Oryctolagus cuniculus: one gene and its partners. The protein of the gene in region 6 purifies or fractionates together with the protein of the main gene of each other region. This does not show direct contact. Links are inferred from orthologs where the notes say so. Each region holds a gene or a part of one and is shown on either strand. Other genes may lie near its edges. The genes, in order: POLR3GL, POLR1D, CRCP, POLR3G, POLR2L, POLR3H and POLR3K.

Region 1 (4,060 bases), on a different chromosome or scaffold from region 6:
TGGGAGAGCCTGGCGCCCCCGCATGCGGAGGGGCAGGCAGCGAAGGCGCCCGACCTCCGGCTTGGGGACGAATGTCGGGGATGGGAGGGTGGGGGCTGACGTTGAGCGGAGGCAGGAAACCTGGGCGCGTTTGCGAGATGTGGTCCAGGAGCAACGTCCCGGAGCCCCTCCGCTCCAGCAGCCCGGGGCTCCGCCTCCGTCCGCTCAGCGGCGATACAGCCCCGGGCAGACTCTCCTGGGACTGGCGCGGGGAGGGAGCCGAGCCGGCTAGAGGGAGGGTCAGCGGGGAGGCGCTGTATCGGCGACGCTCCAGGGACAGGCGACTGGACTCGGGCGAGTCGGGGCAAAGATGTCCGGGGGTGTCGAGCTCCACCGGCTCCATGCGGCTGAGCTTCTGCCTCAACCCCGAGGCTGGGCCAGACTCCTGAGCCTCGGGCGCTGTGTTCCGGCGCGAGAGAGGCCCCCCGCCCGTCACTTTCTCCGCCCACGGGGGCGGGTCCTCCGGGCCTTCGGTGCTGTGACGTCGGGAAAGACGGGGTCTGCCGCTCAGGGTCAGCCCGTTGAAGTCGGCGGTCAAGCGCTCGATCCCCGGCCTCCCTTCGGCGGGCGGAACCGGCTGTGGAGGGGCCACCAGGCCCCAGGGCTCGGAGTTGAGCCTTTTGAGTGGTTTCGGGGGATGGCGGGGCGGTTTGGGGAGAGGCTCTGAAGGGGAAGGGTCATCGGGGGGTTTAGGAAGAGGGAATTCGAATACGTCCCGCTTCTCCTCCTCCTCCTGGGCGCGAGGGGACAACAAGCCACGCCCTCCTCCTGCAGTCTGCAACTGGATTTCTGAAGGCGACGTGCAGACTCCCGGGCTAGGTGGAGCGGGAGCAGGATCCTCCACCCCCGGGGACGGTGGAGAATTGAGATACTGCCGCGTCTTCTTGGTGCCCGAGGGCGACGTATCGGTAGTGATGATGATGACCTCCGTGCCCTTGGCCTTGCAGGCGTCCAGCAGTGTGGCGAGGGTCTCGCGGTCCCCACGGTCCAGGGCGTGGACAAGCGCCGAGGCGCCTGCGTGATCTCTGACGGAGGGGTCTGCGCCGTGCTCCAGGAGCAGCGAAGCCACCGCGGCGCCCCCACCTCCGGCGCAAGCATGCATGAGAGCCGTGCGCCCTAGGCGGTCTGCGATGTTGGGGTCCGCGCCTTGCTCCAGGAGGTAGCGTACCATGCGCGCCTTGTTCTGGGGGTCGTCGTAACGGGCCCGACAGGCCGCCATTAGCGCAGTCTCCCCCTGGGCATCGCCCTCATTCACGTAGGCGCCCCCCTCCAGAAGCAAACGGGCCAAACGCAGCTTACCCTGACCCACAGCCCGAAGCAGAGCGTGGCCCTCGGTGTGCAGCATAGCTGCGGCTGGAGAGAGGGCACTGATGGAGCCGGGTCTGGGACCTGCCGCAGATGGCTAGGGGTCTGGGGGTGGTGCTTGACAGAGGCCTGGGGTCTCAGTGATGAAGCTGAACCCTACAAGAAAGAGATGGATCATATTGGCGGATTCAGCAAGGAAACTGAGGCACCGCTGGAGGCGTCCGGTGTGAGGCGACACACAGTCCTGCCTCTAACTCGTGCCTTGGAGCCTCCCCTTCCCCCCAGCGCATGCCTGAGGAGGTGGGAAGGGTGCACCCGCGCTGAAGGGTGAGCGCGCGTGCAGCTGCGTACGTGCACGCGCAGAGACATCCGTACCCCCACTCTCACCCCCACGGCTTCTCAGACCTTTCCAGCATCCCCCTTTTCTTACCCACACTTGGAATCCCCCTTTCTAGGATGCTGAACGCCACCCACCCACACACATGCTCCCGTATAAACACATATTCCCATTCCTAACCTCTTTTAGGTTGCCACAGCCCCAAAAATTGAGTAGGGGGAGGGAAGCAGCTTGCATTTGGGACCTAAAACGGGTGGAGGGAGAATTGGGGGTTTCTTTTGCTCCTGCTGTATTCCCCATCACTCCTTGCTCTTTCCCCTCCCAGGCTGTGCACCCAAATAGATACCTGAATGTCCGCAGAATCTCTGCCTGGCCAGGATTGAGGCCGTGTTCACCGGACAGCCGGGGTGGCGGAGCCAGGTTCCCAGGGGCCCACATGGCGTGGGGGGGCACCCGATTCCCTTGGTGTCAGAATCTGCGCCCCGGCACCGGATCCTGGTCCCTCCTCCCGGTGCGCCCCGGGCACAGCGCCGGCTCGGGAGGAGAGAAGCTGGGGGGGCGGGGGGGAAGGGGGCGGAGCTCTCCTATGCTATTTATAGCCCAGTCTCTGCGGGTGGGGGCGTCCGGCAGCAAACCGCTCCCCCACTCATGCACACATAAACCCTGAAAAACCTGGAGGCTCCAATCTTGACTTCCCTTATCTGAGCCGACCTCCCCTAAGCCCCAACAAACCTAAAGTGTCCCTTAGGGGACGACTCCGAGACCACGACAGCGACCATCCGAATTCTCGGCAGAGCCTCAGCAGATCTCCATTCTCCGCATTTGGTGTGCTTGTGCGCCAGACTTAACCTGTCACACACCGCACATGACACACTGTGCAGAGGGGTGTAGCCAGTCGATTGGGATCCGGAGCCGGCATCCATACGGTAGTGTGCAGAGAAACGGGAGGTCTGACTGCCTTCTTGCAGTTGAAATCCCTGGTAGATCACGGTCCAGTCAGGAATCAGACAGGGAGGTACATCACTACCCCACCTCCACCAAAAGGGGACACACAGCACAGAGAGCCTCAGCTCCTTTATGCAGACCCCTTAGATGAGCAGGAAGGAAAGTGGATGTCTGGGGGCATTTTTACATAGGGCGAGGGGCGTTCCCAGGTGCCGCCTCCTTCTAATCTTGGGAGGAGAGACCTACTAGAAAGGGGGCAGGGAAAGGAGGGAACCAAGTAACACCTTCTCTCATTGCATTTCCTTACTCTCAGTCTTGCTTAGACTCTTTATTTTTCCATCTTGCTTGAAGGTCTCTATTCTGGTTGCTCTTGGTGTTTTCTGTCTTCCTATCTGTCACTATCTGTCTCTCTCACTGTCTGCCTCTCCTTGCCACCTGCCCTGTCTCCATGGTTACCATAGCTTCCATCTGCATATTTTAGGAATGAATTTCTGTCCAGCTGGAAGGTACCAAGGGAAATGGGGGAACGAGGAAAGAATGCTAAGGATCTGAAAAGTTCACCTAGGGTCCTGAGATAATTTAGACTGGAGGTCCGCAGACACAAGTGTCTAAAAATAACATCCCTGGGGCTCATGAAGTGGTCTAGCAACATAAGGGAAGGCCTGTTACCAGGCATCCTGTATAAGTTCTGGTTCAAATCCTGGTGGCTCCATTTGCAACCCAACTCCCTGCTATTGCGCCTGGAAAAGCAGTGAAAGTGACTCACGTGAGAGACCTGGATGGAGTTCCTGTCTCCAGATTTCAGTTTGGCTTCCTGTCTCCAGATTTCAGTTTGGCTCAGCCCTGGCTATTGTAGCCATCTGGAGAATGAACCAGTGGTTGGAAAATCTTTTATTTCCTCTCTGTAACTCTTCTTCTTCTTCTTCTTCTTTTTTTTTTTTTTTTTTTTTTTTTTTTTACTTTTGACAGGCAGAGTGGACAGCGAGAGAGAGAGAGAGAGAGAGAGACACCCCCAATGGCCGACGCGGCGGGCGCATCGCACTGATCCAAAGCCAGGAGCCAGGTGCTTCTCCTAGTCTCCCATGGGGTGCAGGGCCCAAGCACTTGGGTCATCCTCCACTGCACTCCTGGGCCATAGCAGAGAGCTGGCCTGGAAGAGGGGCAACTGGGACAGAATCCGGCGCCCCAACCAGGACTAGAACCCGGTGTGCCGGCGCCACAAGGCGGAGGATTAGCCTATTGAGCCACGGCGCTGGCCTGTAACTCTTTTTTTTTTTTTAAAGATTTATTTTATTTATTTGAAAGGCAGAGTTAGAGAGAGAGGTAGAGAGAGAGAGAGAGAGAGAGGTCTTCCATCCACTGGTTCACTCCCCAACTGGCCACAACAGCCAAAACTGTTTCGCTCTGAAGCCAGGAGCCAGGAGCTTCTTCCAG
Region 2 (4,014 bases), on a different chromosome or scaffold from region 6:
TTTCTGCTTCAGGGCCTCTGTACATGCTATTCCCTCACAATGTTAATTTCCATCATGAGAGCCTTCTCTTCCTGTAATCTTGGGAAGAGCTTCCCTGACTTCCATACCTAAAGCAAAATTCTCTCTCATGCTTTCTATCTTGATATTGTATTTTCTTCCCCAGAATTACAACTTTTTAAAAATATTGTTTCTCTTATGCAACACTTATTGTGTCTCACTATTATACCTATCCCCAAGGTACAAACCAGAAGCTCTATAAATAAATATCTTTAAAGAGGCTCTAGGGCAGCTCAACTAAGAGTTACTGAAAAGCTAACATGCCATAACTACCTACAGGGATTCATCTCATATTTACTAAGTGTCCACCTGCTGTCCAGTGTTGTGCTAGGTCCCAGGATCACACGAATAAATAGGATCAACTAAGGCCCCAAAGCACAGTGCATTGGGATATGGGAGTGCTCAGGCTCTAGGGTTGACAGGTATTTAGGATAATTGAAGAAGGAAGTTCTGGTATGACTGGTATGAAAGATGTTGAAGATGTAGACAGATACAATGGCTCTTGGATGTGATTTCACTAATATTTCAAGTTTTCCAAGTCATTTTCTCCACATGGTATTTTCCCTCTGTGTCCTTTCTCTCAAATAGTGTTTCTTCTATATGACCCTAGGCTACAGTTGGATACCTACTTAGACTAAAAATGTAATTTGCTCATTCCAGGTTTCTCCTCAGGCAGTAAACAATTATTCTATAGATGGTACAAAGATGGAGCTGGATAACTCCTGAGACCCTCATGTGAAACCAGAATTCTCAAAATTCTTTCAAATTATTCCCTAACCTTACCCAATCCCCTAAGAGAAAAGGATACAACTTTCTCATCAGTAAAATATCTAAGAAGCCAAGTCCACATCCTGACCTTCTTTCTTTTTGAAACCCACCAGTCTATCTGCGTAATGGTCTATTCCATCTCCTCTTTGCCTCACCACCCCAATCCTAGTCAGGAATGTATACTCCTTTTGATTCCCATGATGAAACCACTATTTTGGGTGCCTGATGCTCTGTTTTATCACTTTAAATGTTGGCTCTACTGCAAGCAAATAAAGTCATCCTTGAGGATGTTGCAAGGAACAGAAACCACTCAAAAATAGTTTCAATAAAAGAGGGAATTTATTAGGAGAATACACAGGTTCTTGCGGGGATTCCAACAGCTGTGATGAATGGGTCAACAGCTAGAACCATTTTTTTTTTTTTTTTTTGGAAAGATAGAGCAGGTTGTTGTAATCACAAACTTCTAATTCTGGGTTCTGCACAATCATGAAGAAGAGTATCCCAGAGATTAGTCCTCCTTGTATCCTGCACAAGGGACTAGAATGTGGATTCACTTCTGCTTGCTTTTTGATCCTTATAGTGCTTTATGCTGGCCTCAAACTTGTCAAGCACATGTTGGCAGACATTCATGAGCTCATTCAGCCCTCTCTGAAATGGCTCAACAGCTGGAAGAGCACCTCGAGTCTGAATGCGCAAATTAATTTTGCTCTCTGAAGGATGGGTCGTAGTGTAACCACAAAATTCCACTTCCGGGTTCTTCATAATCATGTAACGCAGAGAATTTCCTAGGGTATGGTCCTCCTCGTGCAAAACAAATGTCACACAGTGTCTATCTGTTCCAGCTGCCTGGACCATTTCCAGGGCTGTCTTCCTCTCGCCTTCGGCCATTGAGGTCTTCAATCCAGACATTTTTCTACACACATATTTTTTATAAAAGTGAGATCATACTGAATATTGTAACTAGCTTTTTTTTTCATTTACTATATCACAATTGCCACACATCATTACTCTAATCCACAGCAATTACACACAGAACTGTCAGCCTCTCTCTTTTCTGCCTCCACCACTTCTACCAATGAATATTTAATTTGCTGACTCCAGTTTCTCCCTGCTCCATTAACTATCCACGTGGGCCACACGGAGCATCTTCTTAGAAAAACATACACTTAAGTGTCTGCAAAGACATTTCTTTTGGAAGAGTCACAAGAAAGGGATATAGCATAGGGTGAGCCCTGCTGGAAGAGGAAAAGGGAGTTGAAGGTGTAGAAAAACACAAGATTGCTCCAGCATATAAACAGAGACTACAGATTATCAATGTGCAGGCCCAACTATGGCTTCCACTTGCAAGAGGTAAGGAAGCTAGGAAACGGTAAGAGCTGAAACAGTACAGCGGGAGGGAGAAACAGAACTCAGCGCTTTGAGGCAGGGCTACACGGCTAACAGTCTGCACGGAGGAGGAGGGAGAGCGGTAGTGACGGGGGGGCTTAAGCCGGACTGAATACGCCGCTGTTCTAACGGGGTTGGGCAGTTTCGGGACCCAACTCTGCTCTGCCAACTGGTCCGCCCTCCTCGAGAACTACTGTCCCTCGGAGCGCCTCTATTCAAACACATCCACGACTCCTCCCTTCTCCTCCCCGTCGGGCCCTGTTCCCTCTCTCAGCGTCCCGGGTCGGGCCCCTGCTGCTCTGCAGGGCCGCGGAGGTTAGGCCCGGGCCGGGCCGCGTGCCCGGTACCGCCCGCTCCCCTGCCTGGGCGCGGCCTACTCCGCCCGCCCCGCCCGCCTTCTCGGCCGTTACCTCTCCAGCTCTTGGTCGTCCTCCATCGCGGGTGCCGGTTCCAGGATCCTCAGGTGGTGCTGGCCGATCGGAGGCTCTGCCCCATGCCGCGAGCTGAGCGGCTGAGGCAGGAAGGAAGGAACGACGGACGGAAGAAGGCGGCGACGGAAGGAGGGAGGAGGAGCCGCAGCGGCGCGGCAGGGTCCGGGCGCTGGGCGGGACGTGGAGGCTCCGCCCCCGGCCCCGCCCCCGGCGCGAGGAGGGCGGTGGCGCCGGGCCCGAGCCGCTCACCTGGCGCGCCCCCAGCCTGGCGGCGTGCGGGGCGAGCCGGGAGGAGGGCGGCGGAGGGCCCGCTGGCGTCGCACCCGGAGGCCCCGGTCACAGTGCGTGCGCCCGAGCTCCACCTTTGGTACCGTCTCCCCAACTGGTGGCGAAGGGGGCAGGGCCTTACCTGCCGCCCCCACATCACCTCCCTTCTTGGGACCCAAGTCCGGCCTGCTAGACTCGACTGGAACCCTGTGGCCTCCCGGGAATCCAACCTCTTGTGGGACCGCAGGCTTGGGCTATACCGTCCTTAAATAGGAGGGGCTGAGTCTCGTTAACAGAACGTGGTGCTTCAAGACAGTACTCAGTGGGGTTCTTGCAGCTAAGCATCTCCCCCGGGACACAGGACAAGCGTTTACCGTTTTCCTTAGGGGAGAAGTGGGAGTTTGGGAGCACACTCACCCACCCCGTCCTTTCCTTCCCCCGGCCATGCACCTCCCTTCCACCCTTTTCTTTACCCCTTCTGCACCCCACCCCCGGGGAACCTCCCTCTCATCTTTGTTCCCAGGCGTCCCCTACCCCGCTTCGGCAGCCTTTCCTCGGCGGGGTTCCCTCTCCGGCCCCTTCCTCTCTGGGAGTGTTCAGTGCTGCTCCCCGCTGCTCACCCCCGGCTCCCGCAACCTCTCTAACGCCGGCCAGCCCCGGTCGCTGCCCTCTACCCCGGCTGTCCTCTCGCCCAGCACACCTACACGCCTGCTCTCCCGCGCCACCTGTTCCCCTCGACCTCCCCCCACCCCGCTCCGTGCGTCCCCTGCTCAGCTGTCCCGCTGTCCCCGCGGCTGCCCGGCGCTCGCTCACACACTTGCCGAGCGCCTTCCACAGAGGAATCAGGCGAGCGGCGGGGACAGCCCCAGGCGGGTGGGGGAGGGCGAGGGGCGAGGGACGGAGTAGGTTCACTCTAACCTAGGAATGACGGCCCCTCCTGGTCCGCCCCCTGCGTTCTCTGATAGGTGGATCCGCCTCTGATCCGCCCCCTCCCCGCCCTGTGGCGCCGCCGATTGGCCCAGCAGCGTGTCGGGTTGGGCCGCTCAGCCCGGCGCTCGCCCCCGGGAAGGCAGCAGGGGCGGTTGAGAAGTGAAGTCTTGGCCAG
Region 3 (3,500 bases), on a different chromosome or scaffold from region 6:
GAACTCATACTTCTGCCTGTATAGAATTGGGACAAGTATAGTATTTTAATCATCTGCTTGGTGATGGGTGTGTGATATGCTGTGGATATAAAAAAGAAAGAACACTCTGAAGTTGTCTACAACCTGCTAAACCATGTAGGATTTAGGACATTTCTCAGTTTTAGGATGTAGTCCCCAAATTGCTGAACTGGATTACTGGATTCTTTTATGATATTTAATACCCAGAGAAGGGTATAAGCCTGGACTGATAATAACTTACTTTTCTTTTGCAGGAAGGATGCCAATTCTGCACTGCTCAGTAACTATGAGGTAAGTGGCTTTGAAGTGGACTGTTGTATATGTTTTTCTCCCAGAAAGGTATCTCTTTACTTCTGGGGATTGTTGAATTAGATTTAGTTAGAAATTACTGGATTCATTTGGGTTTTCACTTTTTTTTTTTTTTTTTTTTTTTTTTTTTTGACAGGCAGAGTGGACAGTGAGAGAGAGACAGAGAGAAAGGTCTTCCTTTGCCGTTGGTTCACCCTCCAATGGCCACCGCGGCCGGCGCACCGCACTGATCCGATGGCAGGAGCCAGGAGCCAGGTGCTTTTCCTGGTCTTCCATGGAGTGCAGGGCCCAAGCACCTGGGCCATCCTCCACTGCACTCCCTGGCCACAGCAGAGAGCTGGCCTGGAAGAGGGGCAACCGGGACAGAATCCAGTGCCCCGACTGGGACTAGAACCCGGTGTGCCGGCGCCGCTAGGCGGAGGATTAGCCTAGTGAGCTGCGGCGCCGGCCGGGTTTTCACTTTTAAAACAGGATAGACGGCCCTGTCGGTTGGATCTTGAATTATTTGAGGCTTGATAAATCATACGTAGTATTTCTGGGAAGATGGGAAGACTTTAAATCAAGCAAACTTTCTAAGTCCTCAAAATTCTAGTAACCATTGGGGATGCCTTCTTGGGATGGAAGCCATCTATTTTAGCACTGTTTCTGTGTGCAAAAGTTTTCTAATAAAATGCTTATTTCTCTTCATAATTACCCATTTTACCTATGAAATGCTTTTTTATACATTATTATTTTGATCCTCAGTCCATAGGTGGTACCATCCTTGTTTTGAAAGTAAAGGTTTAGTTGAATCACCATTATGAATGATTAGAAGACTTAAAATTTAAGGGACTTACAGGGTAGGGTTGCTGGGGAAAGGGAGGAAAGAAAGAGGTTGATGAAGGAGGAGATGTGATAGTATTTTGTGTACCTATTTTGCACAGGGCCTATTTGGTACCAGCATCTGACAGGCCCAGTTTTCCATATGCCAGAGTCTAAACTCATAAAGAGTTAAAGGAGGTCTGAGTTTCCATTGTGTGATATTTAGAGAAGGTACTGGAATAAACACGATTGGCTGTATTCCTTCCAAAAGGTTCATCCTAAATGGTTGCTGCTTAAAACAGGAAGGAAATGTCTGTTGGTCAGCCCATTGGCTTTTAGGAACCTCTTTGTCCATTTTGAACTTTGCTAGGTGTTTGATCTTTTGTCCATTGGGGACACCATGCATTCACTGGGCCCCATGTATTTGTAAAAGGAACAGCAGGCAGGGATAGGAGTTGCATTGTATCTAATAATGGTCTGTGAGCCTGTATTTCCCTCCATTTTCTGGCAGAGTCTCTGAAACAGCAGAGATCCCTTCTCCCACCCCAGCATGGATACACATCTGTTTTTCTCTTGCTGGGAAATGTAGCATTTCGTCCTTTCTTTTTTGAAAACTATTAAATCACTTGCTTCATAATTTTTCTTTTCTGGAAAGAAATTATTATGCTAAATTTTCATATTAGAGGAACAAAACCCTTTTTAAAAATATTATATATTTAGTTTAGCAAAATTTATTTATTTTATACTCTTATCTAAATATAAAAATATTTATATATTTTTGAAATATCTGGTATGTTTTTTGAGATCAGAGATCAGTTAGATGGCATATACTGATAGGAAACATTTGAAATATTTTAATTAAAATAATTTGGATTATTTGATTTAGATAAAAGAGCATTTTTTAAATGTCTCATGCTTCTGGGATTCATATTTACTCCAATCCAAGAGTTGGGAGGCAGGTTGTAAGGAAGAAAGAGGTATTATACTTACCTAATTGTCTTTTTTTTTAAATGTACATGAAAAAAATTTTTTTTTTTTTTTTTTTTTAGATTTTATTTAGTTATTTGAGAGGTAGAGTTAGAGAGAGAAAGAGAGAGACAGAAAAATCTTCCATCCACTGGTTTGCTCTCCAAATGGCCACAATGGCTGGAGCTGGGCCAACCTGAAGACAGCAGCCTGGAGCTTCTTTTGGGTCTCCCATGTGGGTGCAGGGGTCCAAGCCCTTGGGCCATCTTCTGCTGCTTTCCCAGGCCATAAGGAGAGAGTTGGGTCAGAAGTGGAGCAGCTGGGACTCAAACAGGCACCCATATGGGATGCCCGGTGCTGCAGGCCGAGGCTTTGCCCACTATGCCACAGTGCCGTACCCCCTAATTATCTTCCAGTATCATGGACCTTGGAATAGAACGTTTCTCAAATGTATTTATAAAGTCTTTTGTATATCTCTTCCTAGGTGTTCCAGTTACTAACTGATCTGAAAGAGCGGCGTAAACAAAGTGGGAAGAATAAACAGAGTTCTGGGCAACAGAACTTGAATACTATCACCTATGAAGTAAGCCTGGGCTTCTGGAGGCCTCCCTAAGCCACCACTGAGCGCTGTTGGTTTACTCTGCTGATAACTGGCCACCCAATCAAGATCACCTCTTACCTCATGTGCGGAGTGTTACTCTAACCCAGTGTTTATTCTGTTTATATAAAAGTGGGGGTGATTTGGCCAACAGAAGTGGTTAGTTAGCCACAAAAGTGGAAGGAATAGTCTGACTGCCCTCACCTCTGAACCCCAGTTCCATATTTGGGAATCCTCATCCTGAGGCTTCTGTAATTTACTGCATGACTCACAGATCTGACTGAAAGCTATTATAGTCATGACTGTTGTACATGCATCACAGGGAAAGGATACAGTTGTTGTTGCTTTTAAAGATTGATTTATTTGCAAGGCAAAGCAACCTAGACAGTTGAAGAGAGAGACACAGAGATCTTCCCTCTGCTAGTCTCCTCATCAAATGGCCACAGCGGCCGTGGTTGGGCTAGGCTGAAGGCAGGAGCCTGGAGCTCCATCTGGGTCTTCCACTGCTTTTCCAGGTACATTAGCAGAGAGGTGGATTGGAAGAGAACAGCCGGGACTGATACCATTGCTCGTATGGAATGTCAGTGTTGCAGGTTGCAGCTTAACCTGCTACCTGATGTTGATTTTTAAATTATTTACTTATTCATTTCTTTGAGAGGTAGAGACAGAGCTTTCATCTGCTGTTTCACTTCTCAAATGCCGGCAATGGCTTGGCCCAGGTTGAAGCCAGGAGCTGGGAACTCAGTCCAGGTTTCCTGCTTGGGTGACTGGGACCCACCTACTTGAACCATCACTTGCTGCCTCCCAG
Region 4 (3,500 bases), on a different chromosome or scaffold from region 6:
TAACCTGCTGTACCCTGTGCCGGCCCCAGGTGCCTTGTGTTTTGCAACATGAGGTCACATTCATCAGCAGACTACACAGCAGAACGAGTGTTGGTCTCTTTCCCACCTCGAAAAGAAGGGCAAGATGGGAAGTGGGCTGAAAGGTTAAGGTAGATCAGAGCAGGTCAGCACCTTGTGAATTGATCGTAGAGCTTAGTGCCCAGTAAAACATGGTTTTTCAGTAAAACTGATATTTTCTAGAAAATAAACAACATGGGGCATTAAAACATTCTTTGTCTCTTAATAGGATACAGATTATAAGCCAGTGCCACTGAAAACAGGGGAAGGTGAAGATTACATGCTGGCCTTGAAACAGGAGCTGAGAGAAACAATGAAAAGGATGCCTTATTTCATTGAGCCGCCCGAAGAGAAGCAAGGTGTGTATTGGACTCTGATCATGTGAATTTAATGTAAATACATGGACCAGTGGGTAAGCACAGGATGTGTTCTCATTTCATGCTCACTCAGTTTATTCAGAATTTAACAACTACCCTGAAAAAACCGTGTTTATGGGGCTTAACAGAAGAAAAATAAGGATTTTGGGTTTTTTAAGATTTATTTATTTTATCTGAGAGGCAGAGTTAGAGAGGGAGGGAGGGAAGAAGGGAGAGAGAAGTCTTCTATCTGCTGGTTCACTCCCCAACCGGCCACATGGCCAGAGCTGCACCAATCTGGAGCCAGGAGTTTCTTCCAGGTCTCCCATATGGGTACAGGGGCCCAAGACCTTGGGCCATTTTCTACTGCTTTCCCAGGCCATAGCAGAGAGCTGGATTGGAAGTGAAGCAGCGAGGACTCAAACTGGTTCTTGTATGGGATGCCTGCACTGCAGGAGGTAGCTTTATCTGCTATGCCACAGTGCTGCTCCCAGATTTTTTGATATTTTAAAAAATATCTTTCACAGTAGAAGTGATACATGATTAGTGAAAATTATGAAAAACAGATGGCTGGCGCCGCAGCTCAATAGGCTAATCCTCCGCCTGCGGTGCCGGCACACCAGGTTCTAGTCCCAGTCAGGGCACCGGATTCTGTCCCGGTTGCCCCTCTTCCAGGCCAGCTCTCTGCTGTGGCCCGGGAGTGCAGTGGAGGATGGCCCAAGTCCTTGGGCCCTGCACCCGCATGGGAGACCAGGAGAAACACCTGGCTCCTGGCTTCAGATCAGCGCGATGCGCCAGCCGCAGCGGCCATTGGGGGATGAACCAACGGAAAAGGAAGACCTTTCTCTCTGTCTCTTTCTCTCTCACTGTCCACTCTGCCTGTCCAGAAAAAAAAAGAAAATTATGAAAAACAAAAATTTCCAATTTCCACGTGTAAAAATTACCCATGGCTGTGTCTACAGGACTACTAGTAAGCTTTTAGTGAATAGCGTGCATACTTTTTTCTGTATGTATTTAATGAATTGGATTCATATGACTTCATATCTTAATTTTTGTATTCAGTAGCACATTATTAGTATTTTCACATATCCTCATTATTCTTGAAAAATGTGAGTTTAATGATTGTGTATTAGCTGTTGTCAGGCTATATATAACATTATTAATCAACTGATTCCCTGTTATTAGATTTAGGTTTTTTTTGTTTATATATATAATGCTGTGATTGCTGTCATTATTGTAAATGCCTACATGTCTCCCATTACTTAATATTTAAGTTACAAACTTTAAAAATCCTTAGGTTTGTTTAGTCATGGGTATATCTGCTATGATGGAAAATATAAAATAAAATAATGTGCTCACTGGTGAAGCTAAGAGCAGAGAGGAGGCCTCTGGCTGGAGAAGGCACAGCAACCTCCAGCAGGAAGTGGGAAGTGGCTTTAGAGGCAGGGAAGCCCCTTCTGAGCAGTTGCATTGATCTTCAGCATCTGCCCTTGATTGAAATTGGAGATCAATATCATCTTAGGTTGCTCAAAACAACATCATTAAAACAGGAGAAATTCATCAAGGATCATCTCATTGCATTAGTATTAAAAATGCATTCCATTTTCCCTCTCTCTAAAAGACTTAAAAGTGGCTCACCGCCAAGCAGGAAGTCATGTACTTGGGATTGTAAAAAGCATTTTCGACAAGCTCATTGAATTTTCAATACGCTTGAAGTTATATAATGGTTTGATGCGAGAGAGTTTGCTTCAAAGTACTGTGTGTTTACTTTGATGATTATTGTCTGTTTCACCTCTTTGAGTTGAAAAATTGGAATTAAAACTTTCATTTTTTTCTCTGACTCTGCCTTTCAAGTCAATAAAAAAAATCTTCGTAGCAAAAGCTTTCATTTCATAAACTGAACAAAGTATTGTTACGGGTGAAATGGCAGTGGAGAAAATGTTACCTCGGTTCTTTGTCTCACATGGAGGAAGAATTTCCAAGCGGACCAGGCAGAGAGAAAGCATTTACAAGGAGTTAAAAGCAAGATTTGTTAGAGTCAGAGACCTCCGGCCAGAGTGGCCTGCTAGGGCTCCATGAGGGGCAGAGCCCTCAGGGGCTGGTGCTACTGGGGCTTTTAAGCCCCGTTTTGGAGAAGAAGCTGTCAATCAGTGTAAGGCGGGGACAAAACCCATCAAAAGACCTGATCTGTAATCTTTTTACCCTGTCTCAGTTGCTCATGAGAAAACAAAAGAGCTGTCCCAAGAGTAGGATACCTAATTTACTTTATAGTAAATTGAGAGCTCAGAAGAATGGAATCACCTCTCCCTAGCTGTTCTCATGGTAAGACTGGAAATTGCTAAGGAGTATCAGGCAGGCTCTTTTAATCTTGCTAAAAGTAACTTTGGGGGGAAGCATTCTGCACCCTGAATTTCTACCGGGACCACCCTGACTACTTGTTAACCCGTCTGACCCCTCACAGTATGACCAAATAAATGCTTGTTCTGTTTAAAATACTCAGTACAAAGTATACTTCAGTCTTTTTTTTAAAAAAATTATTTATTTATTTGCAAAGCAGAGTTAGAGAGAGATAGTCGGAAAGAGGTCTTCCATCTGCTGGTTGACTCCCCAAATGGCCACAATGGCTAGAGCTGGGCAGATCAGAAGCCAGGAGCCAGGGTCTTCTTCTGAGTCTCCCACGTGGGTGCAGGGACCCAAGGACTTGGGCCGTCTTCCACCGCTTTCCCAGAAGCCTTAGCAAGGAGCTGGATCAGAAGTGGAGCACCTGGGACTTGAACTGGCACCCATATGGGATGTGAGCACTGAAGGCAGCAGCCTAACCAGCCACACCATAGTGCTGGCTGCAACCCGTCAGTCTTTTTACAAGTAGTCTTTTCTCTCGATCGGGGATAGATTTGCGTAACTGAATGTGGTGGTTTTAAAAGTTTTAAAAGTCTAATGTAAAAGTATGTCGAATCCTCCAAGTGCTTGTGTGAATCTGTTAGGGACATTGGGAGCATGCTTCGGAACACCAAGAAACAATTTTCTTCATATATCATGTGGATCCAATTTGTTTTTATGTTTGTAAATATTTTAAAGTTACTTTTA
Region 5 (2,923 bases), on a different chromosome or scaffold from region 6:
CACCACCAGGAAAGCCCCCCACCCTCCCCAGAGAGGCCCAGCTGCTGCCCCCCACGCCACCACGGGCCAGGCCAGGGCTGACCCCTCGAGGCTCCCCAGCAGGCGCAAGTGCAGAGGGGGCGGGGCGCGCTGGGGGACATCCGGGAGCCCCCCCACCTCAGGTCGGCACGCACGCGGAATCCCAGGAATGCCGCCTTGGCCAGGGCCCCCGCAGGGGAGGGCGGCTCACTCCCCCACTCCCACAGTAAACAGCGGCGCCCAGTGGGAGCAGGGGCGGGGCAGGCCCCTGACCCCTCCCCCAGGAAGGCCCCACTCACGCGCTGGGCGCCCACCGGGCTGGCCTCCCGGACCCGGGCTCCCTCTCCTCCACAGCCGCGGCCGCCGAGCCTGGGTCTGACCCCAGGCCACGGTGACTCACGGCCCCATCCTGCCCCTCTGGCCAGGGCAGGATGTGCGTCCACTCAGCCTGGGGGAGGGAGGCAGAGAAGGGAAGTGGCCAGGGCTCGTGGCTCCGCACGTGGCCGAGAGGGCACTAACCCTGGCAGGGCAGTGGCTCTGGGCAGCCCCACTCCGGACCTGAGACCCTTCGTCCCCGTCCCTGTCCAGCGTCTGCCCTGAGCGGGCACTCAGCAGATGCCGGGGTCCCGCGTGAGGACCCCGCCCCGGCCACACATCCAAGGCCAGCAAACCTGGCCAGAGCCCCGCGGGGGCCACGGGCAACACCCCCACAGCCCTGCGGCTCCCCAGCCCGCCTGGGGCAGCCGGGGCACCAGGCTCAGCCCGGTCCACCCGGGAGGCAGCAGCCCCGCCCGTGGAGCCCCTGAAGGGGACGCACAGCTGGGGCTGCCCCTACGCGGGGGCCCTGGCCTTCGAGGGTCAGCTCAAAGGGGCTGACCACACGCCCAGCGCCAGGCCCGGGAAAGAGCGAACAAGACGCCGACAGACTGCCGTCGGGGCTCCCAGCAACTCCCCGCGGGGACCCGAGCCTCGCGCAGGGCTCAAGGGACAGCGACCGGGTCCAGGCCGGGCCGGGCCGGGAGGCGGGAAGGTCCGTCCGAGGCCTCCCGCCCCGGGGCCAGACCCTCTCGCCGGGCCCCTCGCCCGGCCCCACTTGTTGCTGCGACCGGCCTGGGGCTCCGCACTGGAGGTGGCGCTCGCGCGCCGCGGCTGATGTCCGCGTCCGGGTCCAGCCGGCGCCCGCGTAGTACCTGGGCCGCCGCCTCCCGCCGCCGCACCGCGTCGTCCGCTCCCGCCGCGCAGCTGTCAGTCAAGCGGACACGAGAAACGCGAACCGGCGCCGCCGAGCCCTTTTGGCCGAGCCCAGTCGCCGTAGCGCGGCACGTACCAAACCGCCGGACGGGGGGCGCCGCCGGACGCGGCCTCCAATCGGCGCCGAGGAACCCCGCGCCAGTGGGCGCGCCCGGGGCGGGGCCTGCAGCGCCGCGGACGGGCCCGGCAGTGCGCGGGGCTGCCGCGGAGTGCGCGCCGCCATGATCATCCCGGTGCGCTGTTTCACGTGCGGCAAGATCGTCGGCAACAAGTGGGAGGCCTACCTGGGGCTGCTGCAGGCGGAGTACACCGAGGGGTGAGGCGCCGGGCGCGTGGGGCCCGGGGGCGGGGCGGGGCGGGGACCGGGCCCACCCGCGCCTCCTGTCCCGCGCCGCGGGCTGACGCGGGGCTGCGGCGGGGCGGAGGGGCAGGGGCTGCTTTGCCGAGGCCCCTCGGTCGCGCCTTCTCACTCCCAAGCCGCCTCCTCCGCCCCCCGGAGCCAGCGCTGCAGGAGTTTTCTGGAAGCGTCTCGTTGGTTTCCGGAAGTAGAAGGGTGGCTCCCTGAGAGTGGGGGTCCCGCGGGGCTGCGGTCGTGGTCGGGAGTCCCGGCCCCCGGGGGAGGGGGCGCCGGGGCTGCCCTGGCCACCGTGAGCCCAGCCTGGGAGAGGGCGGGCCGGGGCTGGGCCGGGAGGCTGGAGCCTCTGGGTGGGGAAGGGGTGGCCCTGGGTGGCTCCTCCCCGGTGCATCCTGGGGGGACCTGTCCACCTGGCCTGGAGCAGGGGCGAGCCCGGCTGTCTGGTCGCAGGGATGCTCCGGCCGCTGGGCCCGGGCTGGGCCGGGAGGCCGGAGCCCCCGGGTGGGAAGGGGCGCGCTGGGGGCGAGCCCGGCGCAGGCCGCCTCACTGCTGTCTGGTCGCAGGGACGCCCTGGACGCCCTGGGGCTGAAGCGCTACTGCTGCCGCCGAATGCTGCTGGCCCACGTGGACCTCATCGAGAAACTGCTCAACTACGCGCCCCTGGAGAAGTAGCGCCGCCCCGCCATGGCCCGCGGCGTCCTGCCCTGCGTCCTCGCGGCCGGGCTGTCAGACGCCGGGAGCAGAGGCGGGCCGCGCGCACGCATGTCGCCAGCCGCCCAGTAAAGTCCTTGCACAAACACCACTGGTCCCCTCCTTGGCCTCGCTCCGCCCCCCCCCCCCCAGTCCACCTGGCCCAGCTGTCTCGGGGTCCTGGTTCCTGCTCCCTGGTCCCCGCCCACCCAGCGTGGCTGCTCGTCCGAGCCTGCACTGCCTGCTGCGGTCAGCGGCTGCCCTTGCCTGGGTCCCCACCCTGTGGCCCTGTCGGGGTCGCACCAGCCCTGAGCGCCCTCAGGCTCCCGGGGGCCCTTCCCGGGCTGTCCCTGCGGGCCCAGGCTGAGGGCCAGGGAGCAGCTACTCCCAGCAACCCACACGGGGCCGAGCCCGCGGTCAGCTGGGGACGGGGACCAGGGCAGAGCAGGGCCATGGTGGCCGAGCCACTGCTGTCCCCAGGGTGTTGGCCGCATCGCAGAGCTGTCCCCGGCTCCTGGCAGGACCTGCAGGCCCCTCGTCTGCTCACTGCCTGTGCCACAGTGACCACAGTGGGCCCAGGGCCAGCTGGAGACGCCAGCACCCCTACGC
Region 6 (4,171 bases):
TAGGCTGCAGTGCCAGCACCCCTCACGGGCACCGGTTCATAGTCCCACTGCTCCACTTCCAATCCAGCTCCCAGCTAATGGCCTGGGAAAAGCAGCAGGAGATGGCTCAAAGTGTGCCCTCCCAGCCATGTGGGAGACCCGGATGAAGCTCCTGGCTTCCGGCTGGCCTGCCCCCTGCTGTTGTGGCCATCTGGGGAGTGAATCAGTGGATGAAAGATCTAACTCTGCCTTTCAAAGAAATGAAATAAAAATACATAAAAAATAGAAGTGGGAGGGGCCGATGTTGTAGTGTCGTGGATGAAGCAGCTGTCTGCAACCTAGGTGGGCACCAGTTCGAGTCCCGGCTGCTCCACTTCCTATTCAGCTCCCGGATGAAGTGCCTGGGCCCCTGCACCATGTGGGAGGCCTGGATGAAGCTCCAAGCTCCTGGCCCAGTCCCAGCTGTTGTGGCCATTTAGGGAGAGAACCAGCAAATGAACAAGCTCTGTCTCTCCCTCTTTAACTCGGCTTTTCAAAATAAATAAATACACACATAAGTCAAAACAGCGGTGCAAACCCTACACCAGGTGTCAGAAATCAAGCGAGCAGAGATCCCTGCGACCTCACTTCTCCTCGAGGCCCTCGTGCCTGTGACCACCTGTCTCCTGGACAGCCAGGCCCCGTCCAGTGCACACCAGGCTTGGCCTGGTGGCCTCCTCTGTGGCCAGGGGCCCTCAAGACGGCTTCCATGCCACGGTCTGATTTTTCTACTCATACAGACAGCCTGTTGTGCTCTCTGCACCGCACGGCAACACCGTGTGGACCAGTGAGCTCTCGGGATGCCGGGACAGACGCCTGGCAGCCTCCCGGCACGTGCCGGAATGCAGACACCCCTGCGCTGGGCGCGCACCAAAGCTCGCAAGGTCAGTGCTAAGCTTTGCGTCCTGTGCCCCTGAGGTCCCCCCCGGCCTGCTCTTCCGTTCCCTCTGCCTCTCTCTTCTTTTTTTTTTTTTTTTTTTGACAGGCAGAGTGGACAGTGAGAGAGAGAGACAGAGAGAAAGGTCTTCCTTTGCCGTTGGTTCACCCTCCAATGGCCGCCGCGGCCAGCGCGCTGCGGCCGGCGCACCGCGCTGATCCGATGGCAGGAGCCAGGAGCCAGGTACTTTTCCTGGTCTCCCATGGGGTGCAGGGCCCAAGCACCTGGGCCATCCTCCACTGCACTCCCTGGCCACAGCAGAGGGCTGGCCTGGAAGAGGGGCAACCGGGACAGAATCCGGCGCCCCGACCGGGACTAGAACCCGGTGTGCCGGCGCCGCTAGGCGGAGGATTAGCCTAGTGAGCCGCGGCGCCGGCCTGCCTCTCTCTTCTAACCGCGAGGGCCACTCCGGCGTCCCCACGCTCCTGGCCTGCCCTCTCCCAGGGCAGTGAGTGGCCAGAGCACCAGGCAGACAGGGCTTGGCAGTGGGCGGGAGGAGGGGCACAGCCATGGACCACAGCCTCGGACCCAGAGAGGCCTTGAGAGTCGCCGATCCACCCCCGCCCCGGCAGACGCTCAGGCCGAGGGGGAGGGGGCTGCCCACTTCCAGGGTCCCCAGGTGGGACAGGACCCCGGCCATCTCTGCCAGGAGCCCCAGCCCCGAGAAGACGCCTACCTTTGGTGTGCGACGCGCCGTCGCCTGGAAACACGTAGGCGTCCTCCAGCTTGGTGATGTCGAAGAGGCAGATGCAGAGTCCCACGTTGTACACCACCTGCGCCGCGACACACGGTGACCGCGGGCTGCCGCCACCTCCCGCCCCCGCCCATCCAAGCCGCAGCGCCTCCAGGACAGGCGCCCGGCTCCGCCCACCGGGCCGGGGCCCTGCACACCTCTCTCCCACCCACAAACCCTCTGGTCAGCGCCTCCCGGCCAGCAGGGCTCAGCCTGGCCGCCGGCTCCCACCACAGCTGCCTGACCCCCTCGCTGCGGACGCGGCTCCCTCGTGCCACAGGTTCGCGAGCACCAGTCCCTGGCAGCGTGCACCCCAACTCGTCACGCCCAACGAAGGGACCCCCGCTCCGCCTGCTGGTCGGGACACCGCTCCGCCACTCATCCACTCCATCAACAGACAGGCATGGAGCAGGCAGGCAGAGGTAGAGAGGGAACAGAGCCGTGACGGGCGCGCGCTAAGCCGGGGCCACCTGCATCCCGCGTCAGACGGCTGGTCCGCGCCCCAGCGGCGGCGCACCTGCGGCGGGCCGGCAACTCGCCGCAGACGAAGGGACCCGCGCTGTGCGAGCGCGCACGCCCCAGGCACGAGCCCCCTTCTCAGGCCCGTCCTCGGCCTCTCCCCCGCTCCCCGCCAGCCCCCGTGAGGCACGCTCCGCCCCGCACCTTGTTGGCCAGCTTCTTGTTCAGCTCCTCGGCGATGGAGTCGTTGAGCTTCCTCTCAAACTGCCAGGGGGGGATCCGCACGGTGTCCACCATCTCCACCAGGACGAACATCCCGGCCTGCGCTGGCGGCTCTGCGAGAGGGACGGGCGGTCACGCACCGGGGCCTGGGGTCCTGGGAGCCCCGTGCCCGACCGGCCCCCCTCAGGCCAACAGCGGGGCTGCGCGGTAGCGTCTGCGGCGCCCGGCGAGGGCCATGCTCGGCTGCGGAAGCGACGGGAAACAGAGGCCCGGCGGGCAGCGCCCTCGCTGGAGCGCACGGCACGAGAGCCCCTCCGCCCCGCGCCCGCACCACGCGCCGCCGCCTCGCACCGCGCACGGCACGCAGCTGCGGGAGTTAACCACCGTGCGCGAGATTCCGAATCCCGTCGCTTCCGGAGAGCCGACCAATAAGAAGCTTCTGTCCGCCCCCAGACGCGGGGCGGGGCTCTCTACAGGCTGCCGCACGGGGAGGGGCGGGGCCTCCCCGGGAAGACCCGGCGGCGCCTCTCGTTGCTAGGCAACCCCCTGCCGCTCTCCCGGGCTGGGGCATCTCTTGCTTGCGGGTCCCCGCATCCGGAACGATCCTTGCAAAACGCAAGTCGGCAATGCTTCCGACCTTCCGCCCGGAGTCGGGGAGCCCTGACAGGGAAGTAGAACGGAGGGACCCTTCCTGGGTGATGGAAATATTCTCGACCCCCTTTTAGCTCTTCGTAGAGCTGACAGCTCTCATCAGACTCCGTGCATTTCATTGTAGGCAGATTACATCTCAATTTGAAGTGATAATCAATTGGGACTATATATATAGTCTCTATATAGTGTATGTATATAGAATATATAACAGTGCATATATATATAGTATACACACGCGCGCGCACACACACACACACACACACACACACTCCTCTGTAGCTTCCCGCTGAACTGAGAATAAAGTCCAAAACCTTCCTTCCTGGCGGCTCACTGGGCTCTGTGCGATCTGGCCCTGGCACCTCTCTCCAGCTTTGCCCGTTCTGTTCCCCCCAGGATCCTGTCCTGTCCCTCTGACAGGACACTAACGCGGGCTAAGAGAACTCAGCAAGCTGTCCAGGGCCACCGGCTGCCACGTGCCAGAGATGAGCCCCTCTAAGCTTATACCCGTGCTGCCTCTAAGAGTTGGTGGAAGCGCCGGCGCCATGGCTCACTTGGTTAATCCTCCGCCTGCGGCGCCCGCATCCCATGTGGGTACCGGGTTCTAGGCCTGGTTGCTCCTCTTCCAGGCCAGCTCTCTGCTGTGGCCCGGGAAGGCAGTGGAGGATGGCCCAGGTGCTTGGGCCCTGCACCCGTGTGGGATACCAGGAGGAAGCACCTGGCTCCTGGCTTAGGATCTGCACAGCACCGGCCATGGCGGCCATCTGGGGGGTGAACCAACAGAAAAAAAGAAGACCTTTCTCTCTGTCTCTCTCTCTCGCTAACTCTGCCTGTCAAAAAATAAAAATAATATAAAATTGGTGGATATGGGAATAACTGGATTTTCATTTTGTTTTTTTTATTTGAAAGTGAGAATTACAGAGAAAGAGGGAGAGGCAGAGGTCTCCCATCCACTGGTTCACTCCCTCAGATGGCCTCAACAGCCAGCACTGGGCCAGGCCAAGGCTAGGAGCCAGGAGCTTCTTCGGGGTCTCCCACATGGGTGCAGGGGCCCAAGCACTTGTACCACCTGCTGCTGCTTTTCCCAGGCCATAGTAGAGAGCTGGATCAGTGGGGAAGCAGCCAGGACCCAAACCAGCACCCATATGAGATAC
Region 7 (4,052 bases), on a different chromosome or scaffold from region 6:
CGTCATCGCTTGGCCGTATTCTAGTGCAATCTGGGAGTTGATCTCTTCCAAAGTCACCTAGAAAGCGCCAAGCAGGGGCAGTGGGAACCCTGGCTTTGTTTATCAGCCCAAACGGAACCAAACTTTATGGAGGGCCGGGGGAGGGGCTCCCTTTAGCACCTCAGTCTCAGGTTCCACCCGACTTCTCTATTTCATGCCGAATGGCTGTGGAAGCAGGGAGAGTGAGCCCCCAGGGGCTGCTGGGGGGGGAGGAGGGAGACGCTGGGCCTTTCAGTTTGCCCAAGAGCCCCTGGTCACCAGGATCCAGGCCAGAGCCCTGGACTAAGTGGGAGGCATGTGTGCAAAATACACAAGGCAGGAACACACGGCAGTGATAAGACTGCAGTATAACACTTTTCTTAGAGGAAATTCGCCTCTGCATCTACTTATTTGACGGGGGCGGGGCGGGGAGGAAGGAGAGGGGAGAGAAACACGAGTCTTCCATCCGCAAACGGCCCCAGCACCCAGGGCTAGGCCACGCCGAAGCCAGGGGCCGGGAGCCTCACCGGGCCCCAGGCACTGGGCCGCCCTCCGCCGCTCCCCGAGGAGCGCTGGCAGGGAGCCGGAAGGGAGCGGAGCAGCCGGAGCTCCCATTCTTCAACTGTCCTTTACCGACAACCTTCTGCATCAAGTTTGGCACCGTTTCCCCTGCCCCTTCACGCCGGGCCCGGACCAGGCCGGCCGCAGTCCCCCATCAGCACCTCTCCGGCGGCAGGTGGCCGCTCTGGCCGCGCGCACCTGGATCGGCAGGTCGCAGAGCAGCGGGTCCTGCACCACCATGGCGAGACCCTCCTGGAACACGTCCACCGCTTCCGAGTGAGGCAGCGTCTCCTCTTCGTCCTCATCCTCCTCCGGCACCTCGGGCCCCTCGGCCTCCTCGGCCTGCTCCGCTGCCTCCACGGTCGCCAGCCCGGAGCCGCCGGCCGCCGGCCCAGCCACTCCACGCTCGGGAGGCGGAGCACGGACGCGGACTGGGCCCACCTCCGTGAGGACGTCCAACCACCGGCGGGCCAAGGGGCGGGGCGGGCGCCCCAACCAATGGGAGTGCGAGGCGGCTTGCCGCAGGGCCGGCTGGGAGCGAGGGTCGGCGTGTCTATTGGTGGGCTAGCGGCGGGGGCCGCCGGGACCAACGTGAGGTCGAGGTGGGCGGGGTGTCGGCGTCGCGCGGCCAGGGAGCTTCCGGCCGTGGGGGCGCGCGGGCCAGGGCGCCGCCATGCTGCTGTTCTGCCCCGGCTGCGGGAACGGGCTGATCGTGGAGGAGGGCCAGCGCTGCCACCGCTTCGCCTGCAACACCTGCCCCTACGTGCACAACATCACCCGCAAGGTGGGCCTCGACGTTAGGGTCGGCCTCCGGCGGCCCCGGCCTCGCGTCCCTGGCCTGTGGGCGCATCTGTCCAAGACGCGCGCACGCCGGCGCCTCTCGCCTGGCCCGGCCGCCGCCTCCCTTCTGGGGCTGGTTTCGGAGTCGCCTGGTCGGGGCAGGGCGGCGGCTCCAGCTCCGGCCGCGGCCGCCCTCGGTGCCGCTCCGCGTCCCGCGTGGCGCCCGGCGTTCCTCGGGCGGCCTCCGTTTACTCGCGCTCCCTGGAGTGCTCCCGCCCCCCTCGGTCCCTTCTGCTGCCTTGTGGTCCGAGCGCGGTCCAGGGCAGAAGGCCTCGGCAGGCCTCCTTCCCTGTGTTTGTCCGGCCGCCTGGCTCGCACCTGGAGCCCCGGGGTGTCCAGCCGGCGAGCCGCGCGCACTGGCCTGGCACCCACCTGGAGCCCCGGGGTGTCCAGCCGGCCAGCCGCCCGCACTGGCCTGGCACCCACCTGGAGCCCCGGGGTGTCCAGCCGGCCAGCCGCCCGCACTGGTCTGCCGTGCACCTGAAGCCCCGGGGTGTCCAGCTGGCGAGCCGCGCGCACTGGTCTGGTGTGCACCTGGAGCCCCGGGGTGCCCAGCCGGCGAGCCGCGCGCACTGGCCTGGCACGCACCTGGAGCCCCAGGGTGTCCAACTGGCGAGCCGCCCGCACTGGCCTGGCACCCACCTGGAGCCCCGGGGTGTCCAGCCGGCGAGCCGCCCGCACTGGCCTGGCACCCACCTGGAGCCCCGGGGTGTCCAGCCGGCCAGCCGCGCGCACTGGTCTGCCCTGCACCTGGAGCCCCGGGGTGCCCAGCCGGCGAGCCGCCCGCACTGGCCTGGCACCCACCTGGAGCCCCGGGGTGTCCAGCCGGCGAGCCGCCCGCACTGGTCTGCCGTGCACCTGGAGCCCCGGGGTGTCCAGTTGGCGAGCCGCGCGCACTGGTCTGCCCTGCACCTGGAGCCCCGGGGTGTCCAGCCGGCGAGCCGCCCGCACTGGCCTGGCACCCACCTGGAGCCCCCGGGTGTCCAGCCGGCCAGCCGCCCGCACTGGTCTGCCGTGCACCTGAAGCCCCGGGGTGTCCAGCTGGCGAGCCGCGCGCACTGGTCTGGTGTGCACCTGGAGCCCCGGGGTGCCCAGCCGGCGAGCCGCGCGCACTGGCCTGGCACGCACCTGGAGCCCCAGGGTGTCCAACTGGCGAGCCGCCCGCACTGGCCTGGCACCCACCTGGAGCCCCGGGGTGTCCAGCCGGCGAGCCGCCCGCACTGGCCTGGCACCCACCTGGAGCCCCGGGGTGTCCAGCCGGCCAGCCGCGCGCACTGGTCTGCCCTGCACCTGGAGCCCCGGGGTGCCCAGCCGGCGAGCCGCCCGCACTGGCCTGGCACCCACCTGGAGCCCCGGGGTGTCCAGCCGGCGAGCCGCCCGCACTGGTCTGCCGTGCACCTGGAGCCCCGGGGTGTCCAGTTGGCGAGCCGCGCGCACTGGTCTGCCCTGCACCTGGAGCCCCGGGGTGTCCAGCCGGCGAGCCGCCCGCACTGGCCTGGCACGCACCTGGAGCCCCGGGGTGTCCAGTCGGCCAGCCGCCCGCACTGGCCTGGCACGCACCTGGAGCCCCGGGGTGTCCAGCCGGCGAGCCGCCCGCACTGGTCTGCCGTGCACCTGGAGCCCCGGGGTGTCCAGCCGGCGAGCCGCCCGCACTGGTCTGCCGTGCACCTGGAGCCCCGGGGTGTCCAGCCGGCGAGCCGCCCGCACTGGTCTGCCGTGCACCTGGAGCCCCGGGGTGTCCAGCCGGCGAGTCGCGCGCACTGGCCTGGCACCCACCTGGAGCCCCCGGGGTGCCCAGCCGGCCAGCCGCCCGCACTGGCCTGGCACGCACCTGGAGCCCCGGGGTGCCCAGCCGGCCAGCCGCGCACTCTCGCGCACACATGGTTAGCGCCTGTCACTTCCCCTCCTCCTCACGGCTGTGCGTCTGCTGGGCTCCCTCCATTCTCTGCCCTGGTGGTCCTGTCCCCTTGCTTGGAGGCTGAGGACTTGTTTCTGTTAGGTCACAAACCGGAAGTATCCGAAGCTGAAAGAAGTGGACGACGTGCTTGGGGGAGCGGCCGCCTGGGAGAATGTTGACTCCACTGCAGGTGAGGGGAACCTTTTCTGACTCCGAGCTGGGAGTGGCCTGAGGTTGCTAACTGTGCCCTGTCTCATCTGATCACTTGGATGATGTAAGCACCTCAGAATGGAAGATATTGCCTTCGGCCGGTGCCGCGGCTCACTAGGCTAATCCTTCGCCTGCGGCGCCGGCACCCCGGGTTCTAGTCCCGGTCGGGGCACCGGATTCTGTCCTGGTTGCTCCTCTTCCAGGCCAGCTCTCTGCTGTGGCCCGGGAGGGCAGTGGAGGATGGCCCAAGTGCTTGGGCCCTGCACCCCATGGGAGACCAGGAGAAGCACCTGGCTCCTGCCTTCGGATCAGCGCGGTGCGCCGGCCGCAGCGCGGCGGCCATTGGAGGGTGAACCAACGGCAAAAGGAAGACCTTTCTCTCTGTCTCTTTCTCTCACTGTCCACTCTGCCTGTCAAAAAAAAAAAAGGAAGATATTATAATTATTGTTATTATAAAGCAACAAAAATAATATTTGTTATTTTATAATAAATATTATAATTATAATATTTGTTATTTTATAATTGT

What was found.
Region 1: the proteins of POLR3H (region 6) and POLR3GL purify together in Homo sapiens (co-immunoprecipitation; 4 studies listed by BioGRID and IntAct, counting the BioPlex papers as one, with this or other methods). This does not show direct contact. The link is inferred for Oryctolagus cuniculus from reciprocal best matches to the Homo sapiens genes POLR3H and POLR3GL.
Region 2: the proteins of POLR3H (region 6) and POLR1D purify together in Homo sapiens (affinity purification with mass spectrometry; 6 studies listed by BioGRID and IntAct, with this or other methods). This does not show direct contact. The link is inferred for Oryctolagus cuniculus from reciprocal best matches to the Homo sapiens genes POLR3H and POLR1D.
Region 3: the proteins of POLR3H (region 6) and CRCP purify together in Homo sapiens (affinity purification with mass spectrometry; 4 studies listed by BioGRID and IntAct, with this or other methods). This does not show direct contact. The link is inferred for Oryctolagus cuniculus from reciprocal best matches to the Homo sapiens genes POLR3H and CRCP.
Region 4: the proteins of POLR3H (region 6) and POLR3G purify together in Homo sapiens (affinity purification with mass spectrometry; 5 studies listed by BioGRID and IntAct, with this or other methods). This does not show direct contact. The link is inferred for Oryctolagus cuniculus from reciprocal best matches to the Homo sapiens genes POLR3H and POLR3G.
Region 5: the proteins of POLR3H (region 6) and POLR2L purify together in Homo sapiens (affinity purification with mass spectrometry; 4 studies listed by BioGRID and IntAct, with this or other methods). This does not show direct contact. The link is inferred for Oryctolagus cuniculus from reciprocal best matches to the Homo sapiens genes POLR3H and POLR2L.
Region 7: the proteins of POLR3H (region 6) and POLR3K purify together in Homo sapiens (affinity purification with mass spectrometry; 3 studies listed by BioGRID and IntAct, with this or other methods). This does not show direct contact. The link is inferred for Oryctolagus cuniculus from reciprocal best matches to the Homo sapiens genes POLR3H and POLR3K.

What each region holds. Positions count from the first base shown.
Region 1 is NC_091438.1:48,928,009-48,932,068, reverse strand, and holds the start of POLR3GL (DNA-directed RNA polymerase III subunit RPC7-like), read left to right. Parts: upstream 1-1,500; intron 1,501-2,006; 5' UTR 2,007-2,101; exon of another isoform or gene 2,102-2,192; intron 2,193-2,413; exon of another isoform or gene 2,414-2,543; intron 2,544-4,060. Other genes in the region: ANKRD34A (ankyrin repeat domain-containing protein 34A), read right to left, coding at 1-1,384. UniProt on the Homo sapiens protein: DNA-dependent RNA polymerase catalyzes the transcription of DNA into RNA using the four ribonucleoside triphosphates as substrates. Specific peripheric component of RNA polymerase III which synthesizes small RNAs, such as 5S rRNA and tRNAs.
Region 2 is NC_091440.1:86,895,497-86,899,510, forward strand, and holds the start of POLR1D (protein POLR1D), read right to left. Parts: upstream 2,801-4,014; 5' UTR 2,648-2,800; coding exon 2,622-2,647; intron 1-2,621.
Region 3 is NC_091450.1:66,207,975-66,211,474, forward strand, and holds part of CRCP (DNA-directed RNA polymerase III subunit RPC9), read left to right. Parts: intron 1-272; coding exon 273-309; intron 310-2,578; coding exon 2,579-2,677; intron 2,678-3,500. UniProt on the Homo sapiens protein: DNA-dependent RNA polymerase catalyzes the transcription of DNA into RNA using the four ribonucleoside triphosphates as substrates.
Region 4 is NC_091445.1:13,209,319-13,212,818, forward strand, and holds part of POLR3G (DNA-directed RNA polymerase III subunit RPC7), read left to right. Parts: intron 1-286; coding exon 287-416; intron 417-3,500. UniProt on the Homo sapiens protein: DNA-dependent RNA polymerase catalyzes the transcription of DNA into RNA using the four ribonucleoside triphosphates as substrates.
Region 5 is NC_091432.1:353,577-356,499, reverse strand, and holds POLR2L (DNA-directed RNA polymerases I, II, and III subunit RPABC5), read left to right. Parts: upstream 1-1,420; 5' UTR 1,421-1,490; coding exon 1,491-1,585; intron 1,586-2,187; coding exon 2,188-2,296; 3' UTR 2,297-2,423; downstream 2,424-2,923. UniProt on the Homo sapiens protein: DNA-dependent RNA polymerase catalyzes the transcription of DNA into RNA using the four ribonucleoside triphosphates as substrates.
Region 6 is NC_091442.1:117,537,247-117,541,417, forward strand, and holds the start of POLR3H (DNA-directed RNA polymerase III subunit RPC8), read right to left. Parts: upstream 2,801-4,171; 5' UTR 2,721-2,800; exon of another isoform or gene 2,701-2,720; intron 2,483-2,700; 5' UTR 2,463-2,482; coding exon 2,352-2,462; intron 1,729-2,351; coding exon 1,632-1,728; intron 1-1,631.
Region 7 is NC_091450.1:34,570,322-34,574,373, forward strand, and holds the start of POLR3K (DNA-directed RNA polymerase III subunit RPC10), read left to right. Parts: upstream 1-1,252; coding exon 1,253-1,363; intron 1,364-3,418; coding exon 3,419-3,506; intron 3,507-4,052. Other genes in the region: SNRNP25 (U11/U12 small nuclear ribonucleoprotein 25 kDa protein), read right to left, coding at 1-57, 778-819. UniProt on the Homo sapiens protein: Core component of RNA polymerase III (Pol III) which synthesizes small non-coding RNAs using the four ribonucleoside triphosphates as substrates. Can mediate Pol I proofreading of the nascent RNA transcript.